Linked DNA regions of Sus scrofa. The protein of the gene in region 1 interacts with the protein of each later gene in a pairwise test. Links are inferred from orthologs where the notes say so. Each region holds a gene or a part of one and is shown on either strand. Other genes may lie near its edges.

Region 1 (5,241 bases):
GAGACGGGAGTTGGACCTCCGGGCCCAGGGCGTGTCCTTCAGGATGGTGACCCCCCATGACGGCCTCTCCCTGCCCCCCAGAAACTGGAGGCGGCCAACTTTGATGAGAAGAAGGAGATTAACAAGCGGAAGCAGATGATCCTGGAGGGGAAGGTGAGGGCTGAGCTGGCTGGGGGAGGGGAGGGGAAGGTTCCCCGGGGATGATCAGCTTAGCCACCTTCTGGTCCTCCTTGTGTCAGGATCCGGACCTGGAGGCCAAGCGCAAGGCGGAGCTGGCCAAGATCAAGCAGAAGAACCGGCGCTTCAAGGAGAAAGTGGAGCAGGCACTGCAGCGGCAGAAGGCTGGCAGGGCTGGCCACGGGGGCTGTCCACCCAGGGCCCAGCCCAGGGCCCACTCATCTCCAGCACCCTCTCAGGGCCCAGCCTGAGTTCCACACCACTCCCACTGTGCCCAGTCTCCCTCGGTGGAGCCCACGGACACCCACGTTGTGCAGTGCACGGCCCCTCCATCCTGTAGCCCCTGGTGGCCCCTTTTCAGAGCCTTGGCCAAGAGGCAGCCTGCAGAGGAGGAAAGAACACTGGCCATGAGGTTGGGCCCAAGTCCACATACAGTGACCCCAAGCCAGTGTCACCCTGGGTGTGCAGTGGGGCCACAGAGCGAAGGCGTGTCACTTGCAGGAGATGCTCAATAAATGGATCTTTTGACTTTCCTGGTAGGACTCTCAGGGAGAGGGGGCAGAGGGAGGAGGGTGTGGCCGCCTGTGGTTCTCCAGCCCCTCAGAACATCATGTCGCCCCCACCCCTCCCCTCAAGTTCTTCATTCTGCTGGACCAGCCCCAAAGCTTTGAACTGCAGGGCTGACCATTCCAGCTAGGTGACCTTGGGTTGGTGAAGCCCCTTATATGGGCCTCATCTGGAAAATGGGAACAGCAAGTGCCCTACTCTGCAGATGCAGATGTGAGGTTTAGGCGAGATCACATGCTAGCGAACACAGCCATGTTCTAGGAGCTTCCCCACCCGCCCACCTGGTGGCATTGGGGGTTTATGGCCAGAGCGAAGGGGGGCAGGCTTAAGCAGGGTCTGCCTTAGTCCAAACTGGTCCAGAAAACATGGGCAGAGCCCTCCAAATGGCTTACCAAGCCCTATACAGACTGAGGGCGGACAGAGGGCCCAGTGACGGCGGTCAGGTACCCATGGCTCACACACCACACACACACAGCCACGCTTAGAAATGTAATGTGGGCACTGGTATGCACCCCAGGGAGTCTAGAAATTCTACACAATGAAAAGCTCAAAAACAGCCTCCGAGCTGTGAACAGCCGGGGCTGACTAGAGTACGGTGGACAGGCCTTCCCCAGGCTGAGCTGGGCCCCAGTCCCTGTCAAGGTGAATGGCCCACTGTGCCGCCTGCGGCCTGGCCCGTGCCCCAGGCGGGAATCGTTCATGTAAAACCAGCTCCCGTGGGCACCCCTGCCCCCACGTAGACCCGGAGGCAGACTCAGGGCGCGCCCTCGGCCAGGCGGGCCAGGCCCTCCCGCAGCTCACTCAGCTCAAAGAGCCTGACGTCCAGCAGCTGCGCGGCCCGGCCCACCTCGGCCCGTGCCCGCTCCCGCTCTACCCGAGCCTCCTCCAGGCTGCGCTCAGTTGCCCGCAGCTGGTGCTCCAGTTCCGCGTTTCGGGTCTCCAGGTCCTGCAGGGAGAGGGCAAGCAGGGTTGGGGGCCCCAGCAAGTTTGAAGGGTCCAGCATCTCAATGGTATCCCCACAGCCTCCACTCTGGGCCAAACCTTCTATGTCACCTGGCTTCCCTGGTCCCCCTGCCAACTTGAACATCATTGAACTGACCACTTTCCTCTTCTATTCAAAACTCTCCTGTCACCTATCACGCTGGGAATGAAATACATAGCCCTCTTTCCTCTCTTTGTTCATTCCAACTCAGCCTTGCTGGCTTCCTTGTGGTTTCTTGAACATAATGACTCCCCCACCCCACCCCAGGGCCTTTGCACATGCTGAACACTCTGCCCAGAAGAAAACAGGGAGCATCCCTCTCCCAATTTCTCTCTCTTTGGGGGCAGAAGAGATCCTCTAAGTTCTCTACCTGCTGGACTCACAGGACATGCCCCCAGGAACATTTCTCAGATAAAGTCTTCAGTGAAAGCCAGGCCAGCCGCACATGGGTACAAATGAAGGCTCCCAACCTCAGGCTGGGGATGTGTGAGGATTTGATGGGGTCAAGAATGGAGATTCAACAGAGATTCAAAAACTGCTTGTTGGGAGTTCCTGCTTCGGCTCAGTGGGTTAGGAACCCAACTAGTATCCATGAGGAGGTGGGTCTGATTCCTGGCCTTGCTTAGTGGGTTAAGGATCCAGCGTTGCTGCAAGCTGCTGCGTAGGCCATAGATGTGACTCGGATCTAGCACTGCTGTGGCTGTAGGGTAGGCTGGCAGCAGTGGCTCTGGTTTGTCCCTTAGCGTGGGAACTTCCATATGCTGCAGCTGTGACCCTAAAAAGCAAAAAACAAACAAAAAAAACAAAACAAACTCAAAACTGCTGGTTGCATGAAAGGAATGAGATGAAATATTATACTAATAACTTGCTTATAAACCACCCACTGTGACTCAATCCCTCCATGTACCTGGTCACCTGAATCCTTCACAACCTTAGATGTCTTCCTGACTGCATTCATAGATGAAGAAACTGAGGCTCAGGGAAGCACATAGCTGCCCAGAACCCACCAGGAAAGGGAGATCCCATGTCTGTCCCATACCAGGGGCTGGGGGCCCTAGGCAGTCATCCCACCCTCACAGCAACCACACACACCTGCACCTTCTGCTGTGTCTCCTCACGTTCGGTGGTGTCTGGTGCCTCTCGGGTCCCACCAGTCTGGCTCTTCAGCGTCTGGATCTCCTGGTGGAGAAGTTCCCAGGATCTGTTCTGAGGGTCCTGGCTCCCCCATAGGAGATCAGGGAAGGCAAAGTCCAAGGAAACACACATGCACACAGACAGTTCACACACCTGGTCCTTGGTTTGCACTAGTGCCTCCAGTTGCTCCAGAGACTGGCCCGGCCCCTCCTTCTCAGTGACTGTGGGTGGCTCAGTGGCAGCCTGGGCCTCCAGTTCAGCCACCTGCAAAGATAGGAGGGTCAGTTCCCTGACCCCCAGTCTGTACTCTGCTGACCCGTGGGGAATATGCCTCCTGATCAGTCAAGCCCATGACTGGGCACTCACCCCTTCTATTTGGGGCCACCACCCTGACTCTGGCAGATGAGACTTTAGGGTCCTAAAGGTAGGACAACCCTCTGAGGCTCACATTATTTCAGACCCATACTACAGAGCACAAAACTAAGGCTCAGGTCAGGGAAGAGACCTGCGGAGATCACACAGCCAGCCAGCGGACCCGAGACAGACAGGGCGCAGGGACTTCACAGTGGCCTGGACCACTTGGGGTCTCTGGGAGGGAGGGGCTCCCTCACCCGCTGCCGCAGCCTGTCGGCCTCTGCGCGCTGGGCCTCCAGCTGCTGCCTCCACTGGGCGGCGGCGGCGTTGGCCTCTCGAAGGGCGCCCGCCAACTTGTTGTTACTGTCCTGCAGCGCGAAGAACTCGGCCTCCCACTGCACCTCGCCCACCGAGCTGCGGGAACACTGGAGTCAGCAGAGGGCAGGGCGGGGCCTCACTGGGCGGAGGACCGGGTGAGGGCGGTGCTGTGCTAGGGGGCGTAGTTATGGGCGGGGTCAAGATACCTCGAGGCTACAGGGTGGGAAGGTACCGGGGGAGGCGGGGTCTTGCGCGGGCGGGGAGGCGCTGGTCAGTTTTGAGAGACGCAGTCGGAATGCCGAGCAGGATCAGCCCAGGGGGGCGTGGACAGAATGAGGTGGGGGTAGGGAGGCACCCGTGGGTTTAGAATTAGCTGGAGGAGGCGTGGACGGCCGGGGTTAGCCCGAGATATGGAAGATGCAGGACTGGGTTTGGCTCTTGTAGGAGCATAATCTGGGTGTCTCCTCCCCGACCCCAAGCCTTGGGTCCACTGTTAGATTCCGCCGCCTGAACGAGTCTCAACAGCTTCTGGGAACCTCCTCTCCCCCGCTTCCCCTTCGTCCTGCCTCACCCCTGTGCCCCGCCTCACCCCTCGGACAGCATCTTCTTGAGCCTCTCACGCTCAGTGGGGCCCGGGGCGTCCGCGCTCTGGCTGCGGAATAGCTTCTCATCGCCGGGGCCGTTGGCGCTGACGAGGGGGCTCGGGGGCACCTAAGGGTGTGGGCAGAAGTAAGGACACAGTGGGGGTGGCTTCAGTCAAGGGCTGGTTAGAAGGGCATTATTGGGATCAGGGTTGATGTTAATCGCTCGGGTCGTGACAGGGCAGGGGACCCTTCCCAGGTCTGGGATCTGACTGCGCCTCTCCCCTCCTCACCTACCGTCCATGGAGCCCCTGCCCTCTGGGCTGGAGTTCTGGGCCCTGCCCCAACATGGCCCGCTGGGCTCTCACCAACTCCCTAGGGGAGCAACCCTGAGGCGGGCCAGCCTAAACACAGGGAGATACTCAAAATCTGCAAAGGGGAGGCGGGGTTTGCAATCTGAAGCCTCCCTGTTATTCCCTCATAGCATTGACCTTCCCTGGGGCCAAATTTCAACATCAATTTAAGATTCCTACAGGAAACTCACTCCATCAGGCTGGATTAATTATGAATCCCCTTGCTGCCAGGACCATAGCCCTGGGGGACCAGCCAACTTTTTCATCTCCTTAACCCCAGTGCCCAGCCCTGGGTGAGACACACAGTAGGTGGTCGATAAATTATAAATAAATTAGTGGGGGAAATGCCCAGGGACAGTTTTTTTTTACTCTGCTCCTCTACTTAGCCGTTTCAACTTCCATGTCTCAACTCTGCCATGTGAGCTGGTTCTCTGGCCTTCTTCTATTTTTTTTTTTTTTTTTTTGTCTTTTTTAGGGCCACACCCGCAGCATATGGAGGTTCCCAGGCTAGGGGTCTAATCAGAGCTGTAGCCACTGGCCTACGCCACAACCACAGCAAAACGGGATCTGACCTGCATCTGCGACCTACACCACAGCTCACAGCAATGCTGGATGCTTAACCCATTGAGCAAGGCCAGGGATCAAACCTGCGTCCTCATGGATACTAGTCAGACTCATTTCTGCTGAGCCACAACAGGAGTTCCTTTAATTCTAATCTGAGGCTAGGACAGACCCCCTAGGACCATGCTGACATGTTCCTATAGCACCCACACCC
Region 2 (5,728 bases), about 5.9 Mb from region 1:
GAGCCACAATGGGAACTTCTCCATTTTAAAAAAAAAATGAGGTAGAAAATGCACTCAATGAGGTGGGAAATGGAACCATCGTCCAGGCCAGGGGTTGACAAATTCCATGTTTTGTATAGTCTGCTAGCTAAGAATGATTTTTATGTTTTTAAAGGGTTTGGGGAAAACAGATCAAAAGACGAAGAATATTTCACGATACATGAAAGTAATATACATTCAGTAAGGCTTTCCTGGCTCACAGCCACACCCCTTCACGTCTGTCTGAGTGGCGACTTTCTAGGACAGCAGTATTGAATAGTGTGACTAGGACCTTCTGGCCCACAAAGTTGAAAACATTGACTATGTGGCCCTTTACAGAAAAAAATGTGCTGACCTCTGACGTAGATCAAGATGCAGGACATTCCTATCATCCTAGAAGGCTCTCGTGTCCTCTTCCTATCAGTAACCGCCCCCCCCCCACCACAAGAGAACCACTATCTTGACTTCTGTCATTGACGTTTTAAACATACTCATTCTATAGGGCAATACACTAAGCACAGAGAGCTGAAGTGGCTTGGTGTGGGTCACACAGCTTAGAGGCAGCATGGCAGGGACAGGACTTACAGGTTTTGTTTTTTCCGTTTTGGACATGCCCACAGCATGTGGAATTTCCTGGGCCAGGGACTGAACCTGTGCCACAGCAGTAATCCAAGTCACAGCAGTGACAATGCTGGATCCTTGAACCACTGAGCTCATGTTTTTATCCAGGATAGAGAATAGGACCCTGTTTCTGACAGGGATGTGCTGTGTGACCTAGGGGAGGTCCTAGCAGTCTCTGGGACTCAAGCTGGGAAGAAGACCTCCTGACAGTGCCCAGGCCAAGAGGGAAGCTCACCAGACTTGATGGGCTGGAAGGAGGACCCAGAGGGCTCTTCTGGGGCGAGCCGTCCAAGTCAGTCCCGAGGTTCAGCTTCTCCACAGATATGTCACTGCAGCACAAGGGAGGAAGGTGCATGAAGACCCAGCACCCAGGGAGGCAACCAGGGGCAGCTGGAACCCCGGGGCCCTCCCTCCTTACCCTGTGGACCGAGCCTCAGGTCCTGGGGAAGCCCCCGGGCTGAAGGTGCCTATGGCCGAGGGGTTGGGGATGAGCCTGCGAAGCAGCCGCACCCAGGTGGCGACGTCGATGTTCATCTGCCTAGCACGCTGAAAGGCCTTCCCTGGGCGGATGGGGGCAGGTGTCAGCCTCCGTGACGCCCTCAGGACCCCTGGTCTCTCCCCTGCCCTGGCCCAACTCCTTACCTTGCTGCTTGGAGAAGATCTTCTTCTGCCGTCGGAGCCGGGGTATTCGCTCAATGACAGGGTTGCGGAAAGTGACCTGAGGGGAGGAGCCAGTGTCAGAACCCTCGCCCACCTCCGGGCAGTGTGGTGGAGGAGCCCTTAGAAGCATAGGTGCGCATCCTCGGATGTTTCAGGGTTTCCAATCACTGTGGCATCGTGTCCAGCTACAGAATCCTACGCACTCTATTAAGAGGTGGTAAAACCAAGCCATCCCTCAACAGGGCCACCTCCTGAAGTGCCATCTTGGAAAGGCAAGCAGCAGGTGAGCAGGCCCTCCCCTTGGGGTGGGCAGCGGGTCTGCTCCAATGAGACATACATACAAGTCCAGCAAACAGGCCCTATGCTTGATCGATCTAGTATCCTGATTCCCCAAGTGCGGTCCCAGACCAACAGCATCAGCATCACCTGGGGACCTGCTAGAAATGCAGATTCTCAGGGCCCCCGCCCACCTCGACCCACTAAGTCAAAAATACTGGTGGTGGTGGTGGGGGTAGGGCCCAGCAATTTGTGTTTCAACAAGCCCTCTAGGTAATGCTGGTGTCCACCAAGGTGGGGGAAACCACTGCTCTAGTTGAATTCTCCCAACTAACACATCTTCTAGAAGGTGCTAAAGTCACAGAACTGTGTGACTTTATGGGTGTCCTGTACAGTTGCCGCAAGCTGCAAGCCGCATGTGGCTATTTAAGGAAAATGTAAGAAAAATGAAAACATCAGCTCCCTGGCTGCAATGGTCATACTTCAAGTGGCCAGTGGCTACTATATTGGATGACATGGATATAGAACATTTCTACCTACAATAGAACTCAACTATTGTAGGCTCATGGACAACAGAACTGCAGAAAATTCTACAGGATGGTGCTTTGGGGGAGGCATAAGAAAAACAGAATGTTATAAACCTTGAAGGTAAGCAGGACTGTCTCAGAATTTGTCCCCCGGGCTACCCACCACCATTCGCCAGTTGGGTTTTGGACAGTCTTCCCAACAGAAGAATAATTTCAGGGCCACCTGAAGCCAGCCTTTCTCGGCTCCTTTCCTTCAGAGGTCCTTGATCGTGAGATCACATAAAAATTCCTCCCTGGGTAGTAAAATAGCCCTTGAATAGTTTGACTTTTTCTGGATGTTTTTTCAAGAAAAAAACAAAAACAAAAACAAAAACCCCAAAAAAACAAAAACCCTACATGTTAGGAATTAGTGAAGATTTACTAATGTTTTTATTTTTTTTTTCTTTTTATGGCCACACCTGCACCATATAGCAGTTCCCAGGTTGCTGGCTGAATTGAAGCTGCAGCTGCTGGCTTATGCCTCAGCCATGGCAATGCCAGAACTGAGTCACATCTGCAACCTGTGCCACAGCTTGCTACAATGCTGGATCCTTAACTCACTGAGCGAGGCCAGGGATCAAATCCACATCATTATGGACACTATGTTGGGTTCTTAACCTGCTGAGCCACAATGGGAACTCCTTCTTTTTCTTTTTATCTCTTTTTTTCTTTTTCTTTTCCTAGTTGGGTTTGTTACCGCTGAGCCACAATGGGTACTCCTCCTTTTTTTTTTTTTTTTTGTTTGGTTTTTTTGGGTTGCACCCATGGCATATGGAGGTTCCCAGTCTAGGGGTCAAATTGGAGCTGTAGCTGCCATCCTTCACCACAGGCACAGCAACACTGGATCTGAGCCATGTCTGTGGCCTACATCACAGCTCAGAGCAACGCCCACTGAGCGAGGCCAGGGATCGAACCTGAAGCCTTATGGAGTCATGTTCATTAAGCACTAAGCCACGACGGGAACTCCTCCTCCTTCTTTTTAATATCTTGCTTCAAAGCAAAAATCAGTCCCAGCTTAAGTCATACACTGATGTGACTAATTACATGTACTTTTCTATCAAGGTTCAGAGACCAATGCAAAACATAACTTCCCCTTCTAGAAAACTGAGAGCAGGAGATGCAAAAAACATTTTCTTAGGATCAGGGTCAGGCTGTACCTCGGCCACCAGGCAGCCCTGTGGTTCCATGTCCAGCTGCACCTCATGCCTCTCATTGTCCAAGAAATCCTCCAACTTCAGGAATTTGAGGGCACACAGGCCCCGTTGGTCCCGCCAGAACACTGCCAACTCCAGTTCCCGTGCCTCAAGGGAGAAGAAGAGGGCCTTCACTTGGGGTGCTCAAGGCCCCAAACCCCTCCACCTTCAAGCCCTGTGACCCCCCCCCAACCTAGCTCACCCTCTCCAGCTCCAGGGTGAAGCTCTGGTCCCAGGTGTTGGGGCCACATGGCTTCCAGGACGTCTGTCCCACAACCGTGTTATCCAGCTTGAGCACAGTGCTCACCTCACCTGGAACAGAGGTGGGGGTCGGGTGTCAGGAAATTCAGGAGGGTAATCCTTCGTGTATCTTATTAAAGAAATCCTCTCCTCCCCTCATGATTTTCTACTATCTGCCAAAGCTTTACAGTTCTTCCTTTCACATTGGGTCCTTTAATCTCTCTCTAGTGGATCTCTCTGTGTGGTGTGTTCAGGTTTTGGCTGAACCTGCTGGCATGTAAGAGTTCCCAGGACAGGAACTGAATCTATGCCACAGCAGTGACCCAAATCACAGCAGTGACAATGCTGGATCCTTAATCCACTGAGCCACAAGGGAACTCCTCACTTTTATTCTCTATGCAAGTTCCAGTAATATATTCCTAAGCATTAACCCTAAAAAAAATGCATGCTAGTAAACATCAGGAGATACATAAATATAATGCTCATACAATAACTCTAAACTAGGAACATCTCACTGTCTATGAACAAGAGAATTAATATACCAGTGATAATACAGTCATTAGCTAAACCATGAAACTGCTGATATTCAACTATTTTTTACTTAAAAAAAAAGAGTAATTTGATATGGTTTGTTTTGAGACAATGGATTATCAAACAGGAGTAAAAACAAATGAACTATATATAGTTTCATGCAACAATATGGATAACTCTCCCAAACAATGCTGAATAAAAGAAGCCATTCCCATGAAATACATTCTGTATGATTCCATGTATATGAAGTTCAAACACAGGCAAATTAAACTATACTGTTTTGAGATGTGTACATGGGAGCTAAAACTACAAAGAAAAGCAAGGAAATGATAAACATAAGTCAGGAGAGTAGCTACCTCTAGGGCAGAGGAAGGGGCTGGAATTGAGGAGGGGACATGAGGGGGCTTCCAGACAATTCTATTTCTTGACCTAGGTGGTGGTAACATAGGTGGTTACTCTATTGTTATTCTTTTTTTTCTTCACACTTTTAAAAATGTATGTATTAGTTTTTTCCACATTGAGGTAAAATTCATGTAACATGAAATTTACCATGGTCATAATTCTTAAGTGTACAGCTCAGTGGTATCAAGTACATTCACACTGTTGTGCAATCATCACCACATCCATTTCCAGAACTCTTTTCATAATCCCAAACTGAAACTGTTGCCAGTAAACAATAACTCTCTTCTCCCCCTCACCCTCAACCACTAGCAATCACCACTTCTTCCATCTCCATGACACTGAGCACTCTAGATACTTATATAAGCAGAATCATATACTACTTGTCTTTGTGTAACTGGCTTATTTCACTTAGTGTAATATCCTCTAGTTCATCCACATTGTCACATGTGTCAGAATGTCCTTCCCTTTTTTTTCCCTTTTTTTTCTTTTTAGAGCCCCGCCTTGGCACATGTAAGTTCCAAGGCTAGGGGTCAGATTGGAGCTACAGCTGTTGGCCTATGCCACAGCCACAGCCACATGGGATCCGAGCTGTGTTTGCAACCTACACCACAGCTCTCGGCAACGCCAGATCCTTAACCCACTGAGCAAGGCCAGGGATCAAACCCGCAACCTCATGGTTCCTAGTTGGATTCGTTTCTGCTGCGATATGACGGGAACTCCAATGTCCTTCCTTTTTAAGGCTGAAAAATATTAATCCTATGGTGTGGATGAACCAGTTTGTTTATCCCTTCATCCATCAATCAACGTCGGGTTGCTTTTGCTTCTACCTTTTGGTCATTTGTGAATAATGCTGCTGTGAATGTGGGTGTGCCAATGTCTCTTTGAGACCCTGCTTCCAACTCTTTTGGGTATTTACTCAGAAGTGGGATTGCTGGGTCAAATGGTCATTCCATGTTTAATTAGTTGAGAATCTGCCATACTGTCTCCCACAGTGGCTGCACCATTTTACATTCCTACCAACAGTGTAGAAGGGTTCCAATTTCTCCACATCCTCCCTAACACCTGTTGGTTTGTTCTGCTTGACCATATCCATCCTTGTGGGTGTGATGTATTCATTTCTTACAATATTACAAAGGTGGGCCATCCCAGGATCCCACCCCCACCCCACCCCCAGCCCTTCAATGCCCACTCACTGGTGTTCTCGGCTTCTGCTTTGAGGCT

Evidence for each region. The genes of interacting proteins can lie anywhere in the genome.
Region 2: the proteins of HOMER3 (region 1) and PKN1 interact in binary tests that used the Homo sapiens proteins (3 or more experiments, as listed by UniProt). The two-hybrid records come from large-scale screens. The link is inferred for Sus scrofa from reciprocal best matches to the Homo sapiens genes HOMER3 and PKN1.

The regions. Positions count from the first base shown.
Region 1 is NC_010444.4:58,918,454-58,923,694, reverse strand, and holds the end of HOMER3 (homer protein homolog 3), read right to left. Parts: intron 4,244-5,241; coding exon 4,122-4,243; intron 3,629-4,121; coding exon 3,472-3,628; intron 3,125-3,471; coding exon 3,014-3,124; intron 2,906-3,013; coding exon 2,819-2,905; intron 1,691-2,818; coding exon 1,499-1,690; 3' UTR 1,221-1,498; downstream 1-1,220. Other genes in the region: probable ATP-dependent RNA helicase DDX49, read left to right, coding at 82-153, 240-428. UniProt on the Homo sapiens protein: Postsynaptic density scaffolding protein. Binds and cross-links cytoplasmic regions of GRM1, GRM5, ITPR1, DNM3, RYR1, RYR2, SHANK1 and SHANK3.
Region 2 is NC_010444.4:64,806,662-64,812,389, forward strand, and holds part of PKN1 (serine/threonine-protein kinase N1), read right to left. Parts: coding exon 5,701-5,728; intron 3,647-5,700; coding exon 3,537-3,646; intron 3,443-3,536; coding exon 3,299-3,442; intron 1,358-3,298; coding exon 1,282-1,357; intron 1,200-1,281; coding exon 1,058-1,199; intron 969-1,057; coding exon 875-968; intron 1-874. UniProt on the Homo sapiens protein: PKC-related serine/threonine-protein kinase involved in various processes such as regulation of the intermediate filaments of the actin cytoskeleton, cell migration, tumor cell invasion and transcription regulation.